2 linked regions of the Lepisosteus oculatus genome follow. The protein of the gene in region 2 interacts with the protein of the main gene of each other region in a pairwise test. Links are inferred from orthologs where the notes say so. Each region holds a gene or a part of one and is shown on either strand. Other genes may lie near its edges.

Region 1 (11,626 bases), on a different chromosome or scaffold from region 2:
GTGGAGCCTTCTTCAGATTTTTGTATTTATGAGTGTGGTGCGTGGGTTTTGTGTGAGGTGTTTTTATATTTATGCGCAACTGACATTCTAGTAGCGTAAAAACTGATCACTGTTTGCAACACCAGTATGGATCTGTGTGCTAATCGAGCTCAATGCAGTGTTAAGATTGATAAAAGTCTGATCAGTTTACAAAAGTGAATATCTTTCAGAGATACATTACATAAAGTGTTTAATTAGTACAGCAGAATAAAATGCATTGTTCACGTTAAGATTGATGCTTAAAATGACGAATACATAAATTTTTCAAAAATGTTTGTAAGTTTTACTTGACACAGTCTTCACGAAGTCTTAAATACATCGAGACACCTACAGTACGTACGCACACTGAAAATGAAATGCTAACAATATTATCTACCCCAACAGAGAGAAATGTGCAGTTGATTTCCTTTTGTATGAGGTCCATATACGTTTCACAGCTGCATCGTGAACATCGTTTATGGTCCTGATGAAGAACACGACAAAAATCGACTTACCTTTATACGAAGGATAATCAAGACCCTTTAAAGCTATTTATGTATTCCACAAAGTTGCGCCCTCGCAAGCAACCTCTGGCCGCTGACTCTATTACTGCACAGGTGAGGCAATAATCTCCCGACTTCAGTCAGTCTGCTCCTGTCCCGAGTCTCCGGCGCCAATCAGAACACGGTGAGGCCGCCCATTCCCGCAGGTGCAGCCAATGACAAACTGGCTTTAAAATGAAACCCGCTTAGACAACACGCCCAAAGCGATCCAATTACTTCGCGTAATTAGTGTTCGCGTCTTTGTTGGTTTTATGTATTTGCTTAGGGAGAAAGTTCAAAGTGTCTCTTTACAATGAATATTTATATATTTATAGTTTGCATTTACAATTATAAGAAATAAACAGATTAAATCAACTATTGTAATTACGAGTATTATTATTATTAATTATTATTATTATTATTATTATTATTATTATTGTTGTTGTTGTTGTTGTTGTTGTTTTTGATTATGATGTTTGACGTTGTTATTGTAATAGTACAGTTGTAGAAAACTGTTGTACTGTTGTAGAAAAGGTCAAGCACATGACGTAATATTGAGACAGCACTAACTATCAGGCGAAGAAGCTGATGGCACTGCGGTATAGTTCTTGCAGTGCTATAACTGTAAATGAGATTAGTCCCTGGTGAATTAGTTTCGTATCGTTACAGGTTCCACGGCGTCGATTCTAGTGCTTTGTATAAAAGAAGGAGGTGTCTCACAGCAACAAGGTAACGATACTGTACTGCATGTATCCTCTCACATATTACAGCAATCCATACCCTGTCAACAACAGGAAACTGTAGATGCATATGATCAATACGGGAATATTCGACACCTTGCTAAACTGGTCTTATCAAAGTACCAATAAAGCACTTCAACGGCTTCCCTGGAACACATTCTTCCTCAAAAACAGAGAGATTCAGAACGTACACCACGTGTATATAACACTAAAGGTTTGGTGAGATGTGCAATGCAGTGCAAGTTTGACGGAAATTCAAGGCGAGAAACGGCTGTCTGTGCTTGCTGTTTTACAGCCCTATGGCACTACACTTAGACACCGTTGACAAGGGAGCAATGCATCATGTCCTATCCCTGTAGTCTATACAGTGTATATATATATAGTGTAGTATATAATCTTACTGGGTGTAAAGTAGCAAAATAAAAGCAGAAGTAGTATTCTTGTCTGCTCTGTGATAGAGAGAAAGCACTGCTCTTGCGATTCACTTACTCATGAGGCTTTGTGTTATGTTGTTATTGTCCTTCTTATTAAAAATTGTAATTCAATTATAGGGTTATGGTGCAGTGGTTAGCGTTGCTACCTCAAAGCACTGTGGCCTTAGGCTCAGTTCCAGGTGTGTATATGTGTGGAGTTTGTATGTTTTCCAACTTCCATGGGTTTCCCATGGGTGCTCTCTCATTTAGTCCCACAGTCTATAAACATACTAGTAGGTTAACTGGCTTCTGGGAAACTTGCCCCTGGTGTAAGTGTGTGCTTGTCTTTGTCAGTGTGTGCCTTGCGATAGACTGGCATTCCATCCAGGATGTATCCCACCTTGTTCCCATTGCTTGCCAGGATAAGCCCTGGCTCCCACCCAAATGTACTGGCAAATGGGGGGTTACGAAACTGGTGAAAATCAGGATTTGACTTCATAACCCCCAACATGTAAGTGATTTCTTCAGAATACACCTGGCCAGTTGATATAATTAGAGGCACGTGAATTCTTTATTCTTTGGCACCGCTTTGGTGACAGGAGTAATAATCTAGTCATGCTTGGTTAAAAAAAAATATTGATGATGATGACAAGACAAACTACACTACCCACAACAAAGCATACAAATCACAAGTTACTCTATGTACATATTTACAAACAAGGCATTTCAGAGCCAGCATAGCAAACACTTACAGAAGTTAATAATGCATAAATAGGTATTTAAATATAACATTTAAAATAACACTAGTCAGAGAATGTCCAGTGTGGTCACGTCTTTGTTTTTCCATAGTTTCGCTTTAAAGTTAAAGAATAGATAACGACTTAGAAGACACAAACATCTATTTATGTTCAGGTGGGTAGCTGCGTCAGCATGCGTAGGCTGCAAAGGAACAAGTAATAGGTTTATTCCTTGCTGAAAAGAATAGAAAGAAAACACAACGTTTCTGCTGTGGAGCGTGAAGAAGACTGCACGGCTGAAACATTGCGTTTTCTTTATTCTCTTTTCAGCAAGGAATAAACCTATTACTTGCATCTATTTATGTTGCCCTGCTGGAATGCTGTTATATCAGAATAAGGCTGCAAGTATGGCCGCAGGACTTGATCAATGCAGAGCAGTCATGTTACCATTAATCACTACAAGTAGAGATCTGTAACGACAAGACTCTCATATATCAACCATCATACATGGTACCTACCATACATTGATTGGTCTGTTGTACACAAGTTAGAAGACAATATCTGGCCTGCAAACGGACTTTTTAGCAATCCAGAACTGCAACATTGAATTTCCTGAGGAAAAAAAATAAGAAAAACCTTGCAATTAAAATAATTCCATTTTGTTTTTGTGTTTAACACCACAGCCCAGATCCAAGTCACCCTTGGAATACCACTGATCCTTTCAGGTCAGGCTAAATGGAGAACACTTCTCCACCGAGGATGATGCCACTAGTACTTTTTAGGAGGGTTAGGCTGAGCAGTCCGTGACATCTCTGTGTGGAGAATGACTGCAAATTTTTCATTTATTTCAATTTCATGGATATTGGTACAAAGACAAAAACTTTTGCACAATCAGCACAATGAGCAAGAGCAAAGAAAAAAAGGGCAGACCAGGCAAATCTCCTATGTTTCAGAGGGTGAAGGTTTTGGGAAGAGAGGTCCTTTTCCAAACACACGTAAGGCTTTACTTTAAACCAGAGAATGTGTTTCAACTCCTCATTGTGTGCGTCTACATGAAAGCAAAAATTATTCAACATCCACACCTTCTTCAAATCCTGTATAAAGGTAAAAGATTAGTCAAAATAACTTTTAGTCTAATCCAAGTAAATTGGTAATGACATAATCCCATTTAAATCTTTGGAATACATTACACAGGTCATTATTAGCTTCCATAGATCTGTGCTGTGGTGCTGTGGTGCTGTGGTACAGAAGAATCTGAGGTGTAACATATGCCCTATCCACTGAATATAGACCAGCTTTAGAGACGGAACTATCCACACACTCAGATCATCACACGGTATGTACAGTATCTACAGTATTTTACTGTATCTTGTAGAAAGACGAGTATCAGACCATATAGTATACATTGGAACTGAAGTGTACTGAACCCTGTTTTGTCTCTGTAGTGTTAATAGGCTTGCATAGAAAATAAAACTTGGCAAATCATTTAAATCAAGACTTTATAAGTGGAAACAAATTTGTACAGTACATTTGTCAGTGTTCTGTCAATTTACAAAGGAAGTTCTGTATTCATTGTAGTCAATATCTGTAAATGGCATCTTTATCAGAGCTACAAGGCCATTATGAGATCTATCTCATAATCTCATATTCTATTTCAGAATATTTTTATGAAGATTGTGTGATGTAAGCATTTCAGAATATGTGAACTATCTACATTACTTAATGCTTAAATGCACAACAATTTATTAGGGGGGTTAGGTTGAACAGCCTGTGACATCTCCGTGTGGAAAATGCCTGAGAAGCATTCATTTATTTCAATTTCATGGATATTCTCCATACGCCACTGACTTCTCTGTGACACTAATAGGCTTCTGTCATTTTCAGGGTTGTTCAGTATTGAGCATTATTAAACTAGGCACAGATGGTGCTCGTAAAAAACCTATATATATACATTTCATTAACAAAGAAACCAAGATGCGCAATGACTCAAGATTAGGTCATACCCATTTATAAGTCCTGTGTGATCGCATGATGAGGCAGAGCTTTTATAGTTAAATGACCAGCAATTATGGATTTATAAAGACTTTTGGGCATTTAAAGATGCGTAGTGCCCATTAATATTAAAAGTAATGAAAAAGTGTTTTAAAGTGATAATGATTAAAATTCTATAAGACTGTACCTTCAATTATTCCAAAATCAATTACTTTTTTGTTTTGGAAATCCCCTTGTGAACAGCACACCGCCATAACAAACCCATATTATAAATCCTTAGGACACAGCACTTGTTTTTGTCAAAAATGGACATTCAATTATTCACGTGAGTAACCTGTTACCAAAAACCTTCTGCAGAATCAAAACACAACCTACTGTAATTACAAAGACAAACTGACCTGCTCGAAAAAAAAAATATTTTAAATATTTTTAAAACTATAAACAATGTTTTATATTTGGGAACATATTTACGTATTTCTATGTGCCATATTATTGTTTTTAATACTTAATAAGTATTAGGCATTTTTAGTCTTGCTCTTACCCCCACCTACTTTTAGCTGTAGTTTTTTTTATTTATTTAGTGGTTACTTCAGTCTGCCTTTGGCTGGAGCTAACTTGAAAAACCTGCATGAATTTGAATTGTGTGATTTGTGGGTGTCCTCTGTTAAAAAGACTCCAGATATCTGCAGTTATGTATGTAGAATGCAGTGAAACATGTGAATGACGGGGCTCGACGTGGGCAGTTTCCACCTGGAACCAAAGGCAGGAAGAGAAAATGTGCATTGCAAACTCTGATTATACACAAAAATACTCTTTCCTCCTCAAAGACCAGCCCAACCTTTGTAACGTCCACAAATAAAGGGTCATATCACTTAAAACAGGTTATTTGTTGGACGACTGACCAGGTGTCTCAGAGCAGATGAATTAAAGACATTAACTGTTGATTTTGATATTATTATAACATTGAAAAGGTGGCACAGTTGTACAGTGGTTAGCATTGTTGCCTCGTAACTCTGGCCTTAACTCCTGTACTTGGGGAGCTATCTGCATGGAGTTTGTTTTCAGCACATCTGTGTGAGTTGTCTCAGGGTGCTCTAGTTTCCACCAACAGTCCAAAGTCATACTGGTACTGTAGGTTAATTGGCTTGTGGGAAAACTGGCCCTGGTATGAATGCCTGTGCGTGTCCTGCGATGTACTGGCATTAGAAAATGGATGGATGAATGGATTACATTGGAAATTCCTCGTGTTCATCTTAGGTGAAAGTCATCATTGGCAGTCCTCGAGAACCTGATGCCTTTGAATTTTCATTCTAGCGCAGATACGTAAATACGTAAATGAAATTATTTGGTAAAATGTTAACCCATGTCAACTAGATTCTGGTTGGAAAGTACCTAAAAACTTGTATGAAGCTTTCCTTCAAGGAACTGAGTTGCCTGTAAACGCTTCATTCAATACACTATACATTCATATACAGTGTCCGTTATCCATTGTAAGAAAGCTTCTTATTCCTAGGAAGGGAAGCATCTGCCCAGAGCCTAGCTGTGAAGAATAGGGTGCTAGGCATAACTACACCACATTACTGTATATGCTTGATCCATGTCAGCTATTCCATAGGATCTTACTTTTGATCTGATCCTCTGATCCTCATACTTTTAAATCTTTACAATGGTAACATGCAAAACTGCCCTGCACAATGAATTAGAAATATATTTATAATGCAAACACAGACCTGAGAATTTGGTCATGCAAGCTAATCACATTACAGAAAGCCAATTTAGAAACAGACAAAAGTAGAAAGAGTTTATTTTTTTCTATTTATTTTTATTTTGCTTCCAAAAGGTACTATGCCTATATCCAGCATTATAAAATAACACTGCAGTGTGTAACCTCACTTTTGTCATAGGTGGTGCAAACATTGTTAAAATAGAGTCAAAAGACAGTGGCTGACATACCAAGTAACAAAAATCAGCATTTTGACACGAACTCACAAATAACTTCAAATGCATCTGGAATAAATTGCGATGGCAACAAATAAAATTAACGCAATTATAAGACTTATTTTTTGCTCTGGTAAACTGCTTCAACATTTAACATTCAGCTGTATTCTGTATTTTTTTTGTGTTGTAAACAATGGCTTTAAGTAGCCTTAACACAAGAAAAAAAAAGGGATACCCATGTACTTCTTTTAATTACTAATATGTACATTTATATTCTATCTTCATGAGTCCAATTTGAGCCTCAAAAAAGGAGATGGGAGTCTGGAACAAGAGAAAACAGGATTGTTTCGGATCAATGCAGAGAGTCGCAGATGGGTTTGTGTGTAATACAGTGCCAGAGATTCTGCTAGATTGAATGAATTCTTACATTTGGTTACCCTAGTACTAGGTTAAAACATAGGCACTTGACACAGCTCAGATGGATCCTACAGTTCTTTCCAGAAATTCAAGGGGGCAGCTTGTTTTCTGTTGGCATACAAGGTGAACAATATCATGCGATCAGAAATAAGAGCTATTTTCACAAGCAATAGCAAGTCAAAATAAATTATTTTTAATTGAGTGCAATGCCAAACATAACTGCTGCATTTACAACTTAATTAAATCCCCTTAGAGCAGGTGTGTTTGGCTCTCCTGCATCACTACCAGACCCCCAAGCCAGATACCATTAAACATACAAGAACTCATTAAACATACAGAATCAATCTCAACATGTTCTATTAAATTCAAAGAAACACAATAACGAAAAATCAGGTAAAACCAGTAGTGTTTCTCTATAGTGCTTGATGTGCAACATTCAGAAGCTGTGAGTAAATGTAATGGGTTCATAGGCTTGCGTATCCATGCATGTGGAGTTACTGTGAATAGAGAACAACGTTTTAAAGCCATGTTTCAGTTTTGACAGAGGTTTAGATTACACCAACACATACAGTGGCATTCCTGGTGAAAAGCTCCAAGTACTGCTAACATTAAATTTCTCAACGTACTGCACGATCTTGCTTTATATTCTGCATTGTTGAAGACAAAGAAACAATAATAAAAATACGTAATGCAGAAATTCATTTCTTTACATTTTCATTCTCCACATCACTCTTTGCAGATGAAAACCAAAAGCTTGTGCGAGTTAAGTACTTTATAATATTCATACTTAACAGTAGTAACTATTGTGTTTTAAAATACCCAATGAACACCGTGGTTCAGTCACATGCGCCACAAACACATTTGTTTTCATAGCATAGTTAAGAAATTCTAAATCTGGTCAATTAAAGGTAATTAAATGTACTACTTGAAACTTCCAGCCATGAGTGAGAGTATATATAAAAATAGAAAATACTAACTACTCCCATCACATTTTTTAAAATAAATGAGAACACATCCCAAGACATTTTCAGTGAAACCTAGTCATTAGCATTCTTAAGAAATTTAAAAGTAGTGCTACATCTTTTAAAAGTTTTATTTTAGACCTGAAGGGGATCCGTAAGATTAAAATCTGACCACACAGTTCCATAACAATAAAAAGTTCAATACAGGTCAGGAGGCCCTGTAACAAAATTAGAGATTTAAAATCATATATAATTTTGGAGATGGTGTATCCCTGAAATATAAGCACAGAAGAATTAAGCCGACTCAGTGCCTTGAATGCAATAGAAAAAGTTATCATCCCGTCAGTCGATCTCATAAAATACCAAATGCAATGTTTCTGGTATTTAACTCCCCTCCCCCAATTATTTTTCTATGGGAGACAATGCAATTGGATCTAATCAGATCTCTGGCTACAGTTACTAAGATACACCACAGTAACAATGACAAATGAAAAACCTAACCATACGTTCTCCTGCCCTCTTTTGAACGACATTTGTGCCTTCTGGCAGTCAACACAGATCAGTTTATATTCAAGTGTCTGAATATGGGTAACCTACACATGGCTCACTGGCTCAATGTTCATCGAGAGTCTTTAATTTCTCTCTGTATTTTCTAATTACAGTGCAAAATGTTCAGTGAAAGACTTTGAGAACTCTGCATAAGGAAAAGCTCATATACAGTACCCAACTCTGTTTCAGAGCATCATCTATGTATGTAAACTTTTAACATGTCAAGAAGCACAGAAACTCTACATCTATCACTCCTCTTAGTTCATAGAAAATCCAACTATTTTAATGCTTTGTTGAATAAGCCACAACTGTAGATTTCTAAACTAAGATTTTTAATAGCACCAAATCCAAACACAATGCTGTATATTGCATGCTTGTCTACCTAAAATCTGAAACTCTTTCAGTAGCAGATAAGAAAACCCATGCAGCTTTGTCTTCAAAATCGCAATGGTAATGTGATAAGCATTCTTACATTATCTGCCTAAAACTGTACAATTCAATAAAAAGGGAAAAATGGGTTTTATATAAGCAACAGGTTATATGTCATAATGTATGCTTATTTTTGAAATTCAGAAATGGTTCGTGGAGTGGCATATGTGCAAGGTTTCAGACACAGCCCTTAATGTAAATAAGTTTGCTATTATATTAGCTTAATTGAACCAACATAACAACTGCTCAGCTCTTTTTATAAGGACATAGAAACCTTGCAAATTCTCCAGCCCTCTAGAATTAGGAGTCGACTCTCCTGTCTCCTGAAAGAATAAAGTTGTTGGTAATTTAATGGGCAAAATTAATACTTCAAGGCCACTTTTAATGTTATAAATTGCCTTTCCTGCATGATATCATGACCTATAATAGGATTTAGTTGCAAAAGTAGTTAAATATAGAACTCAGTCTGTAAGAGAAAGAACTCAGTTAAATGCTCTCACTTTAAATAAACCATACATTTCAAGAAGGAAACTCTTACTGCAAAGGAAATCGTACTCTGCAGATTTTTTAAGTGTTTTGATAGTTTCAGACACATTCATTTTGGCAGTTTTGATGCATGGCAAATTCTCTATAATTCTAACATTAAAACAGAAAAGTTTAAGCTTCTGAGTGAGCAGATGGAACAATATTTAATACTATGATATTTTTCAGAACTGCAATCTTCCCTATATAAGCTGATGTGTTTCATAAATGTTTGATCTAATACTTAGTTATAATGCCCAGGTACTGAGGCACAAAGTCAAAAAATACAATTCTGACATTGTTTTCAAATGCCTGGGGTTAACATCCTTTTTTTAAATAAAACACGCTGTTCAACTGTTCAGCGCCAAAGCCTCAAGTTTCAAAATTTAAACGGCCATACACCAGATAGATAACAAGAGGGTCCTTTAAAACGGAAAACTAAATCTTCATGAAAAATAGGATGAAACCAAAAAGGGTGCTGCAGTGGTGCTATTGCACTTTTGTAGGAATAAGAGACTAGAGGCACATGTCTCACCTCAGGATTTTGGTTTCAATATCAAAGTCTTGTGGGCTTAGCAACAGATGCACCTTGTTACGCAAGCAGGATAATATGATCTGCAGCACATACAATAATAACCGTGACCTGAAAAAAACAAAATCAACTAGATTCAAGCCCTAGCAAAGCAGCCATGTTGGTTTTTAGCTTAGTTCACTTTAGTTGAATGTAACACTGACTACTGGACTAACGGATCTTGGTACAGTATGTCCACAAGGACCCAAGAACTATGCTAGGGTAGTGAGGTAGAAGAATGCACCTCGGGGACAGGGAGAGCGCGCGAGCAAGCGTGACTCACACCTCCCCGAAGTTGGTATGTCCCGTTTCCTTGGCATGCTCCCGAGCCTCTGCCTGTCCCACCAGGCCGGTCTGACACACCATGCACCGCAGCGAGAAGCGGTTGACGTCGGTGAACTGCCGCTTCCTCCTCGCCTCGTCCGCCAGCTCCAGAGCCTGGGCCAGGATAATGTCGTCCGCCGTGGAGAAGATGGTCTGGGGTGGCGTGTCCGAGCCGGAGATTTCCTTCTGGAGGGGGTCGTAGTGGATCCCGTCGTAAATGAGCAAGACCCTCCTGTTGTAGCCGGCGTCCTCCCCGAAACGGTCCACCCGCACTGTCTGCGTGTCCACCACACAGATCTCGCACTTGTAGAACTTGGATAGGATGGACACCTCGATGGCGCCGCCCCAGGTGTCATCCCTCCTGATCCAGCTGCAGTAGTCCTCGTTCGACTTCCCCAAGACCGCCTCCGAGTACGAGGCCGGGTCGCTGGCCACAATTTGCGCTATGAGACCACGCATCTCTGGAGCGCAGGACGGGTCGTAGACGCCCCCCTCTATGACGTAGAAGACACTGGTGAAGAGGCAGGAGTTGTCTGCAGGAACCACGCGCCTTGCCAGCACAGGGCTCAACTCCTTCTGCAGCCCATCCATCGCGCCGCCTTTCGTCACTGAGGCAGAAGGCTGGGGCTTCGGCTTGCTCTTCTCTTCTTCCACAATCAGGGTGTCTCCTGCAGATTCAGGGGTACAATCTCAGAGCAAGACAACAAGGTCATGTAGCAAGGTGTCGTGCTTTTTTGTTTGTGCATTTTTCTTCACCATTCGTACTTGTGGTGTGCATGAGTTCTTAGCTAACTGAGCCAATATTCTTACAGTATATTGACAGCACCAACCTGGGATCCATGGAGGTCTCCCATACCAGTACTAACCAGGCCTAGCTATGCTTTGCTTCCGAGATCTGATAAGACCTCAGAAATAATGTTGCTGACTAAATCAACCTATGACCTCTACAGTAAGGATGTTCTCCTATATTGGTCATTTAGTTTGCATATCTACTGTGAACTGCACTGTGGAATTCCTGTGCGCAATAAAGGTTAACTGAGCACAAGACTGGACTACCAGATTCTCGATTGTTTGGTTATTCAGTACAAACAGATCCCTTTCATGCCAAGAGGAGCCTCATTAAAGTGGAACTGTTACTTTTATAATCCGGGGTTAGAAAGAAGCAGCATTGATGAGTGCATTTCAAACCTAATGGAAAGTAAAAAGTACACAGAATTGTTTTAAACCTCCTACTTACATCACAAAATAGACAATTTCCAGTATGGGCAGTGCCATATTGCCGTCATTGTCTGCAATTCAGTATGAGGCAACAAAACAAAAGCAGTCCTATTATGTTGTAAACAACCAGGATTGTGAATATCTCTTTAAATCCAATAGAAATGTTGCTCTCAACTTAGATCATGCTGGAACATTTCTGCAGTTAAATGTCCTCTGTACAACCTGCACTTAGTTCATCCTTCACTTGTACATCA
Region 2 (12,507 bases):
TATCCAGTATCTAACAGCACTACCATACTGATAATGAAATGTAATATTAACATGGATATTTTATTTTCTGGATATTGTACAGAAAACATATCAGGATAGCATAGATTTAAGAAAAGGGAAAGTCTTTAGAATGTCCTTTAATTCAATGTATACAGTATATCTAGGTAGATGATTATGCCTAAAACTGACTTTATTACATATTGTTTTTATGGAAAGCCCTTAAACTACATTAATATCTTTTGAAACCTAAAATGACATGGTAAACATGCTGTGCATTATGCATTTCATTTTAGAAACTTCAAAGAAAGCGTTCATCTATCACCTCAGGCAGAAGTTTTTAGGTACTGTAACTGTATACTTTCAGTCTTGAAAATTGAATATGTTAGTACCCGGGTAATAAATTCCAAACAAATGCTAGGAAGATTGTTTTATTTTTTAATGTCGTCTGAACTGTAATAACATGGCGAATTTTGTGTGTTTTTAGTTAGGGGGAGACTTATTGCCAGCACTCCTAATTAAGGAGGTCATACTGTATACAATACAAAAATGTATGTACTGTATAAAGAATTTATTTAAGAATGTTCTTAGAAACTATCGTAAAAAGTACAGTATATTAAAAGGAATTTTAAGAGGAATGAGGCTTGTAGTGGCATATTAAGGAGGATGTTAGTATTGCTATTTTACAGGCCTTGTGTACTGGGCTTGAACCCTTTTTGGAGCATCCACTGTTTGGAGCATGCATGTTTTTGCTGTGTTTACTTTCTTTTAACCAGTGCCCTGTTTTTTTTTCTCCCACCCTCCAAATACAGGCTGACTAGGTTTATTCATGTCTACAAAATTGACCCTGTGTGCTTTTGTGCGCCCTGCTAGAAGCTACAGTCCCATCTAGGGTGACTTCCTGCTTTGCAGACTGTGCTTCCAGGTACAGTAGGTGTCACAACTCCTACTGACCTAATTAATTATGTCTTTGGCTTCTGATTTCAGCTGAGGCTGTAACAGGGTCAAGACTTGAAGCACTTTTCTACAGTTTTTCTTTTTGCTTCTGGGTAAATGAACAGAAGCCTTCTGAGCGACGTGTGTCATCATTCCTGTCCGTTACAAAGAACAGCTCAGCCAAATGTTCAGTTGCACCTGTCTTAGCAAGTTTAAATAATAATTTCAACCACAGTTGTTCTCTTCTGAGCTTGTCAGCTTATGTTATGCTACACTGCAACGAGTCACTGCAAGATATTTCTCTTTCGCCTTGTGCCAAATGTAAATGGCAGCATCACAGGACAGTATTTCAGATTTACAATGTGAAAATGTTAAATTAGTTTGGTGCCTGGCTAAGCAGACAGGGGTCCTAAAAATCTGAAAGCCCAGACAGACCTTAAAGGAATGAACCTGCATGATCTTGTACGGACTCTGAGGTTAGTTGACCTCTGATCTGGACTTTCTGACATATGTGCCCTAATGGCTTTGTGGATGCTGTATGCTGCTGTATCTGTATCATTTGAAAAGTGTCAGTTTTCTTAAGAAGGTTAGAATCCCTAATTATTCCCCTGTATGAAATCCATCCATCTATCCATTTTCTTACCACTTTATCCAATTCAGGGAGCCTATCCCAGCAAGCAACTGGCACAAGGTGGGATACACCCTGGATGGGACACCAGTCCATCACAGGATACATAAAATTACGCACACACCCATACCAGGTATGGTTTTCCTAGAAGCCAACTAACCTACCAGCATATCTTTGGATAGTGGGAGGAAATCGGAGCACCTGGCAAAAACCCACAAAAAACATGAAAGGGAACATACAAATTCCACACACATAGCACTCCAGGTGCAGAATTTAACCCATGTCTCCAGTACCATGAGGCCATGATGTGTCATCACGTGTCACTGTACCACCATGCTATCCATGTGTCTTCATTATACCATATGAGCTGGGACAATTTGTCTAATATTGTGTGTTCAATTCTTTACACTTGTTTTGTATAGAAAAATCTGGACTCTAGAACACCTTCTGCATAGTACATTTACTTAGTCACCCACAGTATTAACATATCCTTGTCTAAACTATCAAACTATTTTTTGATTGGAGACAAAATTTTCAATTTGTTTGAAAGATTAAGAGAAGTATTAAAGTAATAAGAATCAATTAAAATTGATTAAATTGAAAAAAGTGTAGAAAAACCTAATTTATAAAGAAATTATGTTTCCATGATTGTATAAGTACAAAATGTATTTATTCAATATAAAAAGCTCTTCTCTTTCAGTAGCAATGTAATGCAACTGTAATGCCACTACAAAGAGGTGGTGATTTTTTCAACAGCCCACATCATTTTCTAACTCCTTGACTATTTACTCACAAGAACACTTGGGGCTGTATCTTAACAGAACAGGAATACCTACTACAATTGCATGGCTCTGTTGCTCATTTACACCCAGTGTAATGACCTAACAGTAGCTCAATAACAAACTTGTGAAATAAACACCTACTGTACCTCAGCAGGAACATCATAGTTTGAGCAGTACCTACAGTACTATGGGATTTCCTCAAGATTAGGTCACGTTTTAGGTCAGGGATCTGTGCCTTCTGTTAAAGATTCTCTGTACTGATTCTGAATATCAACATGCCTGTTGGATTTAAACATATTAAAGGTTGCCCTTTATCATTTCTCAAAGGCAACATACAAGTTTCAATATATCCCATTTAATCAGTATGTTAAATTGTTTGATTGGTAATTAAATTATTATATCGGCTACACCCAAGACGTAGGCTAGAGGGATTTTTAGGCTGATTGTTGATTTTCTTATGTCTAATCATTTGTATTTTGATTTGTGCAATAATAAAGATTATATAAACTTATTTTCAAAGAATTGTTAAGGTGTGAACATTGAAAAAATAATTTAACATAAAACATAATAAGAATTTCAAAAAAATATAATACTCTGTACTAAAGTATAATGCTCTCTACATACTTTATACAGTATGAATCTTTGAATTTTTCTACCATAAGTGCTATGAATATATTTAAAATGAGCTTGTAGCTAGCTTAAACTTTTGGTGCACATTAAACAGGTTCTGTTTATCTTCTGCTTTTAACAATTTAGTCTACCAAGAGACATGTACTTACTGTAGCTACAGTATGCTAATACACTACAATACATTAAGTGATTCTATCAGCCATGCATTCCCTTTTAATAGAGGCATAAAATATTACATTGCCTTTGAAAAGTGTCTGAACCTTGCCACTGTGCTTTCATTCCATGATTCATTTGATTTTTTCCCAACATGTTTTATAAGATCATACACAAGATAACTACTGTAAGCATTTTTTTGTTTTTATTAACGGACACATTCCACAATGAATCTGTTACACAGCTCTATTAATTTAATTGTATATAATGGTGTACAAAGAGTTTATACATCAGGTGAAGAAAATGTCCAGGGTTTTCTGTAGTCTTCTTTTTCTTGATAACCTGACTTCAGTTGTTGATCTTGGACATTGCAGGAAAAATTAATGAATGAAAGCACATTTAATGTACACGCTGTATCTAGCTTTCCTGTTCACTGGTTTTAAAATGGGACTTGCTGTTCTTGCAAGATAAAACACTTCCATTTTGAATCCCTAGTTCTGCACTGTACTGTTGGGCTGTCATTGCTCCCTGTCACACATATTTTATATAATGTATACATACTGTAAATACAGTATTCAGTGTGTTTAGCATAATCTATTAGGTTTGTGTTCAAGATATACAGTAATGTAATGATATGCTGATGCATGCTGATACAGCTAACATGCTGCTACAAAATATAACATATTTGAAAAATACATTTTTCAAATATATACAATATATATGTTATTTTAACCCTAAGAATTTTGGATTCTTCCAAAAACAATTTATGTTTATTATAAGCCTCTTCCTTGTGTATAAAACAATTAAATAATAGTTAAAACAGTATATCTTTGTGTAAAATTAAATTGACTAATATTACATTTTTCTTCTTCGTTCATGGGCTAACCACTGTTCATGATTTTAAACACTCACTAGTGTATTACAAGAAACCTGTGAAATCCCCTACTGCTGTCATCAATTAAAGCACATACTTCCAAAAATATACCACTTGACTAACAAATACTGTATGAAATGTCGAGTTTCACAACCAATGTGACACAGCAGAAAATGTGTCATGTAGTTGGAACATTCTTGGCAAAAGTCTAAACTATTGTATGTCATCAGGGAAGGTGAACAGGATTTCCATGGGTACCAAACCAGATTAAGTCAGGATTGCTGGGGTTATAGACACCTTTGTTACCTCTGATTTGTCATCACTCAACTGCAAGATCCTTCCAATTGATTCTAATTCTGCTGCATACTGCACATTGTGTACTATTTTAGGAATGGATAGCTGCACATCAGTACACCTTCTGAAGGAAGGCGTGCAAGATCTTTATCCTTCCCTTGGCTAGTATGAGGGTTTTAGCCAAGTTTACTAGGGGGTAGTTGAAAAAGAAATTCGGGAGAACCTTAAAAGTGCAACTAGATTTAGCCATACCTACTCTTAACACATAAAGTCCAAAAATAACTGTTAAAGTTACATCCCATTCGTACAAACATTGTATGGATCTTCAGAGTTGTAAGAATCCTTTGGCATACACATCAATGAAAAAAGATAATAGAAACCTTTACCAAAAAACAAACAAACATGGACTAGATCCATTGAGACAAAATATAGTTGAAACTATATTGAATATGAAACTATAAAGTTTTTTGGTATGATTTGGTCACATGTCATACTGTACTTGCAGTCAAGTGATCCCGGAAGTGGTAATTCCCTGGAAAACAGATCTTTATACTCTTTACTAGCACTCTACAGTATTCCATTAATATCTTCCATTTTAGACAGAAATGAGCAAGACAGCAAAACCTAAATCGAGACAAAGGTGATCAAATACAAATACATTACAGTGCAGACTCAAACCTCAACAAAGCCTGCATACATGTCATTAAACTTACCAATGCTCTAATTAAGTCTAAATATTTAGATTTATCCAAAGTACATTTGCTTCATTTTGTCATTTTTGTTTCTACTGCAGCTTTCACAGACTAAATAAAGTTTATTGTAAAACAAAAATATTTTCTTTTTCGCAATGCATTCACATTAGCTGTTTATCTAAACATTTTCAATTTTTTTTGCAGGGGACATTAAGTGGGTTTATTTGTCTGAATACTATGATGGCAAGATTTTCATGTATTAAATACAGATTAATCATAGAGTAGATGAAGGCTGAATACATTTTATTTGAATCTAATAAACAAACACTGTTTATTCATATAGATTTGATCTTTGGTAAATACCAAATACCAATATCCATACATGGCTTAAAAAAGTTATTTCTGATAGTTCTGATTGTTTCCATTAAGTCTTTGATAACACAATTACACAGATCTAACTCTTCTAAGACTTCTGCCTTGAATGTTAATCACCAGCACTACAGCTAGACAAAAATAAAGATCAGCTCATGTAAGAAACTGCTCTTGTTGAAGGACTTTAAAAGGTAATAGGAGTGTTATATTCCCTGTTGCTGATATTACAAAACACAAATGTGAGGTTAAACAACATGAATGACATTGAGTTGTACTACCCTTGTAAGGTACACATAAACAAAGGGAGCTGTTATCAAGTACAATTACTACTTATGGTAAAAACAAGTTTTGAGCTGCCCATCTAGCGATAGAAACTACTGAAAGTCCATGCTGTTTTTCCTACCTTCATTTTACTAGTACACATTCTAGTTATACTGTTTGACGAGCAGGTAGAGTGGAATGGAGTTGGTTGGGGGAACATCTGTTGGCAAAGCACACTTCTTTTCAATAAGCAGGTAAATCTTAATATTAAATATTATTTTTATAAAAATAAAAATATTATTTTTATTTTATTTGTATTAATACATATGTAATGCCCTAAGTTAAATGTAGGAGTAAATTGTTCTATAGACAATTGTTTTATAGGTATAATTATACATATTTTTATTTTTTTTCAAAAGTTTTATGTTACACAATACAAAAAAATTTTTGAAGGGTATACTTAATGAATATTTGGTTTCATGTCTGCACAACATTAGATCTGCTGTTCATCCATCTTGATTTTTCTACCTTGATCTTATGCTTATAACAGTTATTTTCAATTTTATTTTAGAATTGTCTCAGGACACATGCTTCTGTGCTAACTATAAGAAACGTAAATCTGGAAAAAAAAATGAAGTACATTTCTACCTTAATTCAGTCCATTGAAACAACATTTAAGAAGATGCAGCAAACGTCTTCACACCAATGAAAACAACAGTATTTGTGTCTCAAGTGTGTTCATGCACATATTTCTGTATTTGTTTTACACTTCTTTGAGGTTGACTTTAGTAATATTTATTAAGTATTGTGGATATTGTTTGACAGGTGGCACAGTGCCGCAGTAGGTAGCAGCACTGGGGCCCTGGATTCAGTTCCTGGGGTTCTATCTGAGTGGAGTTTGTATGTTCTCCCCAGATCTGTGTGGGTTTCCTCCTACAGTTCAAAGACAGGCTGGTAGATTAACTCGCTTCTGGGTAAATCTGGCCCTGGTGTGTGTCTGTGTGTGCCCTGCAATGGCCTGGTATCCTGCCCAGGGTGTATTCTGCCTGGTCCTTGTTTGTTGAGATAGGCTCTAGCTTCCCTGTGACCCTGTGCTGGACAAAGTGGTGAGTAATTGGAGAATGAGGTACTCAAGATTTTAATTTTTCCTGCTTTTCCTACCTTGAAGCAAATCCATGGATTTAAATGAGTCAATTGAAACATTCACTCTCACCCCTTCTGGTTCTAACCGGTTTGGTGGCAAAAATGGTAATATCACCATTCTTTTACATATGGGAAAATTACAGAAATTGCACTATTGTAAAAAAAAAGTAATAGATTATGTGTCATTGTAATGCCCCTGAATGTTTTGAAATTTTATTTAAATTTGATATTTTCTGTGTCCTTGTTATTATAAGTTCAGACAACTGCCTTTCTATTGTATATGCTGTCAACCAAATATTAATAGAAAGGATTTCACTTATATAAAAGGTGTATTACATTTCACAAACTCTGTTCAGTTTCTTTAAAATACTGAGGAAAATTTGTATTTTTTTCTCATTAATTCCATCTATATATAAATTACAGACAAAACGTCTTAGATTTTTTTTGTATAGCTAATCTGCATTTCTAACATCATAACACCTACATACAATGTTTTAATTTTAGAAGTTTGACCAAACCTGAACTACCGTACCGGGGTGAGAGAAATTGCCTTCTTTCCCTTTATAGTAACGCTTCCTGGAGTAATTGGACGTCATCCCCTTGACTGAAATGACGTCAGTCCCAAGAGCATGCAGTGACGTCAGTGCGGAGGGTTGCGTGGTGACGTAGACCTATTTAATACTGTCAGTGAGCGGAGGATGGAGACAGAGATGTTGACTGGGATTGGAGAGATGGAAAGCTGTGTTATAGACTCTAAATAACGAGGAGGATGGAATAGCAACAAAAAAAAATTGTAGCCCATGGTTAAAAACCTAAAACCTTTTATCCTCAATTATACCTCTGAATAGGCTTTCCACTCCTTTTTTGTACACAACCATTATCAGTGATGTACATTTCTGTGATTCTGTGAATATACAGAGGATGATGGAGCTATAAGAATGCACCAGGTTTCCTAACGGAAAAAAAGCTATGAAAAAAGCTGCCTTGGACAGTGCACTGGCGTCTTTTATCCTTTTTTGTACTGGTTTGATTTCTGATTTATCTCTTCCTTTCCGTGTGCCCATGTGACAGTGCGTTTTAATTTGCTCTGGAGGAATTTTGATGGCACAGAAGAGATAAGGAAACTGCAATACGAATGAATGGGGAATGGCAAAATAGTAACTCAATGCTGGAATGAAGGTTAAGCTTTTTTCTTGCCTGAGGATACAGCTTTCTGCGGTTTAGCCAGCTCCGTTCTGAAGAGGTGTCGGTTTTGGAAAGTAAATACCAGAGGGCGTTATGAAAGAACACGGAGTAGTAATACCCTGGCTTTCAGACCGAGTGGATATTTAAGGGTCATTCGGAGACCAGAGAAAGCAGCACTGCTGATAGCCCTCAGTGTACCTTTCTAACGAATGCAAGCTCTTCCCATTCATTTTAGTAAGAAAGGGAAGGAAAAGGATACTGTAGGTGGATTGCATACGCATTCGGGATTTTGTTAATCATGTACCTTGTTTCGAAGTAGCTATATCGCTATATGTTTTTTGGAATGCATAATTCTTAATGAAACCTGGGAATGCTAATTCGTGCAAGAAAAAAACATAGTTACCTTTGACGGAATGTGTATTCGTAAACGTGTATACATTTCTGTGGATCTGTTTTGAAATCAGTCAGCTTTAGACCGACGATCATAAAGGACTATATTGAAACAGTCATGTCTTGCTGAAGGAGCTGAATCTCAACAACCTCACCACACCACCCCCATCAAATCTCATCCACGGCGGCGTTATAATAGAAAATACAGTACTAACCATAGAGCAGAGGAATCTTTCATTTGCACTGACTGGATCATTTCAATCATCCAATCAACCAAAATGGGGTAAGTTATACGGCAATATGTATATTTGGTGAAATACTGTACTGTGTGTATTTTGGTCTCATAATATGAAATACAGTATACTGGTATCTTTTTTCATGGCCCCAAGTAAAGCTATGTAATGAAAGACTAGATGGTATAAATCTTTAGCATTACCTATATTCCTTATAACATAGTGCAGTTGAGCTGTCTCACAATGTTACTTACTCTAGGTCGTTTGTGATATACAGTAAGTGCATTGTATTATAGTCGCAGATAGTAGCTTATACCCAAAATCTGGTGGAGTGAGCCATGACTTTGGCCATGTTATTCCATTTGGAACTTCGTGAACTGTTTCTGAGTGAAGCAATTCTGTAACTTAAACCTACAACAATATAAGGGTAATTTACCACAGATTTAAATTTGGTTGGATACCATCCCACTAATGTAATGCTTTTGTACAGAAGGTTCACTGTTATGATTATTTCTTATTCATGAATTTGAATTAAACATTTCCCGTTTCGAAGAATGGGTTTAGAAGTGCATGTGTTACACAAGACACCCATGACGTTTACTCTGTTTATGTGATAGAAATAACATTGGAAATCGTTTATTTTTATGAAAGTGTTCCGTAGCAGATATCGTTCATTAGAACCACTTGCATGTTTTTTTAACAGCAATGAGTCACATTAAGTAAATTAAGCTCATACAGAACTTCCCGTATTTCACCATAAATCGGGGTGGAGAGAAGTTTGAAAATCTAATTAATGGTTAAAAATGTATGTCTTCTTAAGCCTTAGCATCCAATAACCTCTCAAGATTTACTTCATTTCCCGAAGACTTATCATAAAATAATTATTATTATTACGATTTACTCAATTACTGGCTTATGAGGAAGAAATTTGAAAAATATTAAAGTTTAATTTCCTTTGTTTTTATGAAACGTGATACACAATGTTTACAGTCACTTCTGTTTTTCCTGTAATTTTATTGTTTTACGTTACGTTTGGATTTTAGAATGAAAATTAATCGCATTTTATACATTCAGGTGACTTAAAATGTGGACTGTTTTCCTAGAATATATTTTAAAACTTGGATTTTAGGACAGAAGTAAGAGAATAATTTGCCTGATAAAAAAAAATGAGTGAGCAAGTTAGAGTTCCGAGGCAAACAGTAAGAGCTCGATGATAGTGAAAGGAATTTAAAAGTGGACTGCTATAAATTAACCTTTCAAAAAGTGCAGCTAGATAATGATTATTTAAAAATACCACAGGAAGCCAGAATCTGATTTCCAGTTATCTTGAGATATATCTATTTAATATTTTAAAATTTTAGTTTTCGAAATTATTTTTTCTTAAACGTCACCATGAGGTAAAGAGAATGTTAAACGTGTAAAAAACGTGTAAAAGTTTTGGGGTAGAGGTTTTGCAACGAGTGGAGACGTTCTGTCTCCTTAAAACGCGTTAATACTTAAAAGACGCAACTGTCATCGGACCTTTTTCTGTATTTTCCACAAAACTAAAAAATACAGTATAAAGAAAGTTCAACATTTCTCAGAAGTGTGTTCAAGCTTGTTATCTTCGTGGAATACAACGTCTGCCTAATCAGCTTCTTCGCAGATCAAATTAGCTTGATGAGCTGAAGTACAAAGTGCTTTAAGGACATATATTTCAGAAAAAGCATACCAAATCACAAATCGTCGTTTAGCTTTTGACTTTTGACACAAAGCAATCTTTCTTCAGCCTCTCAGAGGCTCCTTGACGAACATATGCACAGTTATTGGAGCTTGACAGTTCTGATTTACATTTGTCAGTACGAATCTTGTTCCACTGCTCTGGAAACAATGAGGCATGATCTTTTGAAGGAGAAAATCACTTTGATATATTGCTCTTTTTGCACAGTATGGCTTTCTTGGTCCCTTCCTAAAGAACAGATTTTAAAAATAGAACATGTTCAAGGTCACAAGATCCATTGATGGACAGGTTTGGATTTTAACATGATAATAGTCCAACTGCACAGTCAGAATTCACTTACTGTACAAGAGTCAAGTAGTACAACAGGTTTTGAAAACGATACACCTGCTTCCCCAGTCAGTTGACCTTATCACATTTAAGGAAAACATCATGGTAGGTTGAGCTTGACAAAAAGGTAATAGAAAAAAAGTAGAACCAGCATTAACAAGCTGAAGGAAATTGTTAGGGCAGAATAAACAAAAATAAAGAGTGAACTGTTGCTAATGTACTGTGTGATGGGAAAGAGATTGTGCAGCTGTGATTGAGGAAGGATAATTCTGATGAGACATGTTTGTGGAAAACACATCAACTGTTCAATTTTATTTTGATATGGGCAATACAGTTTTATCTTGTTTATTCCAGTTCTTTTTCAGATTCTACCTTTGAGATACGGTACTGTACTGTTTTCAGTACAGTTCCCAAATGGGCCCATGATTTGTCTTCACAAGTGGTAATTGGTGTGTGTGTGTAATGCAGTATATTTATTTTTTTAAATATGTATAAGAAAGTATCCTGGAGGTTCTATTGTGAAGTTAGAAAAACATTCGTGTACATGGGTGGTTGGGCAGTGACACGAAACAGTGTCAGTCTTATCTGAATATCTTCTGAAGTTTTGTTTGTACAGTATGTGGACTGCTGATGCATCACACTTACATTAGGAATCAAAGCAGTGTATATTGTCACTGTACACATTACTTGGTATTCTCTTTTTTGTAATGAGGGATTGCATTTGGATTAGTAATTCCAGGCCTTGTAAATTTGTCTCAACCCATACCATTTCTCATGATGGAATTATAAAACCTCACTAACACTCCTACTCATATACATAGTCATTGGCTATGTTTAAGCTACATGCTGTTAAAGCAGTACAGTAGTGGGTGACTACAATAAGCTAAAGGTATTCAAAAGCCACATAGAGGATTTTGTGGAGATTCAAATATATTGCAGTGTAATTAATAATGTAGGAAAGGATAGGAATAACTGGTGCTGTGGAGTTGTTTTTAAAACTCGTGTTGACTGGATACTGTTCAGTTGTCATGCTCTTTGCTACTTTAAAACTGCTCCTTTGGACTGTTTTTTTTATTAATGTGGGACAGGTAAAAACCATAATTTCATCAAAAAGTAATACAGCATTTGTGCATAATCTGTAATATAACCTGTACATAAAGTCGTGTTGATTTCTGTTTGTTTGGTCATTTTATTTCTTATCAGCGGTTGGTCTTCATGAATGTTAATTTCTCAACAGATTCCTGATTGCTTTTTGGCATGTTGTAGGGATCTGTGCAGTGGTTTTCTGTATTATTATCTTTCTATATTTGGGCAAAGAATTAAGTATTATGGGAGAAGGATTCAGCTTTCTGTTGAGTGTACTGTAGATTTATTAATGACTTCTTTGTACCTTCCATTATCACAAACAATCCTTCTGATATAAAGCTTTCAATGAAGCAGAACCTCTAATGAAGTCAGTTTTTATGCACGAGTTAACAACAAACACCTACCAAATGTTGTTTATTTTTACCCTTTACTACTAAATTAGGAAATTTGTTATGTTTGATATTACATGTGTAATCATGGCTGGCATTGTTACTCATGAAATGGTAACCATGCTATGCCAGTAGCTACTGTACAGTATATTACCCTGCAGCTCACAGCTGGCAACTGAAGCTAGGCTGGTCAGTACCAGAATGGGAGAGCTCCTGGGAAAAACTAAGGTTGCTTCTGGAAGAGGTGTCAGTGGGGCCAGTATGGGGCACTTATACTGCAGCCTGTGTGGGTCCTAATGCCCTAGTATAGTGACGGGGACACTATACTGTAAAATGGTGCCGTCCTTCGGATGAGACATAAAAGAGACTTTCTGTGGTCTTTAAAAACCCAGGGCATTTCTCGAAAAGAGTAGGG

The links.
Region 1: the proteins of homer1b (region 2) and specifically androgen-regulated gene protein interact in binary tests that used the Homo sapiens proteins (3 or more experiments, as listed by UniProt). The link is inferred for Lepisosteus oculatus from reciprocal best matches to the Homo sapiens genes HOMER1 and C1orf116.

The regions. Positions count from the first base shown.
Region 1 is NC_090700.1:33,676,575-33,688,200, forward strand, and holds the start of specifically androgen-regulated gene protein, read right to left. Parts: upstream 4,549-11,626; 5' UTR 2,969-4,548; intron 780-2,968; exon of another isoform or gene 534-779; intron 1-533. Other genes in the region: yod1 (ubiquitin thioesterase OTU1), read right to left, coding at 10,110-10,822. UniProt on the Homo sapiens protein: Putative androgen-specific receptor.
Region 2 is NC_090698.1:41,962,369-41,974,875, forward strand, and holds the start of homer1b (homer protein homolog 1b), read left to right. Parts: upstream 1-7,467; 5' UTR 7,468-8,615; coding exon 8,616-8,620; intron 8,621-12,507. UniProt on the Homo sapiens protein: Postsynaptic density scaffolding protein. Binds and cross-links cytoplasmic regions of GRM1, GRM5, ITPR1, DNM3, RYR1, RYR2, SHANK1 and SHANK3.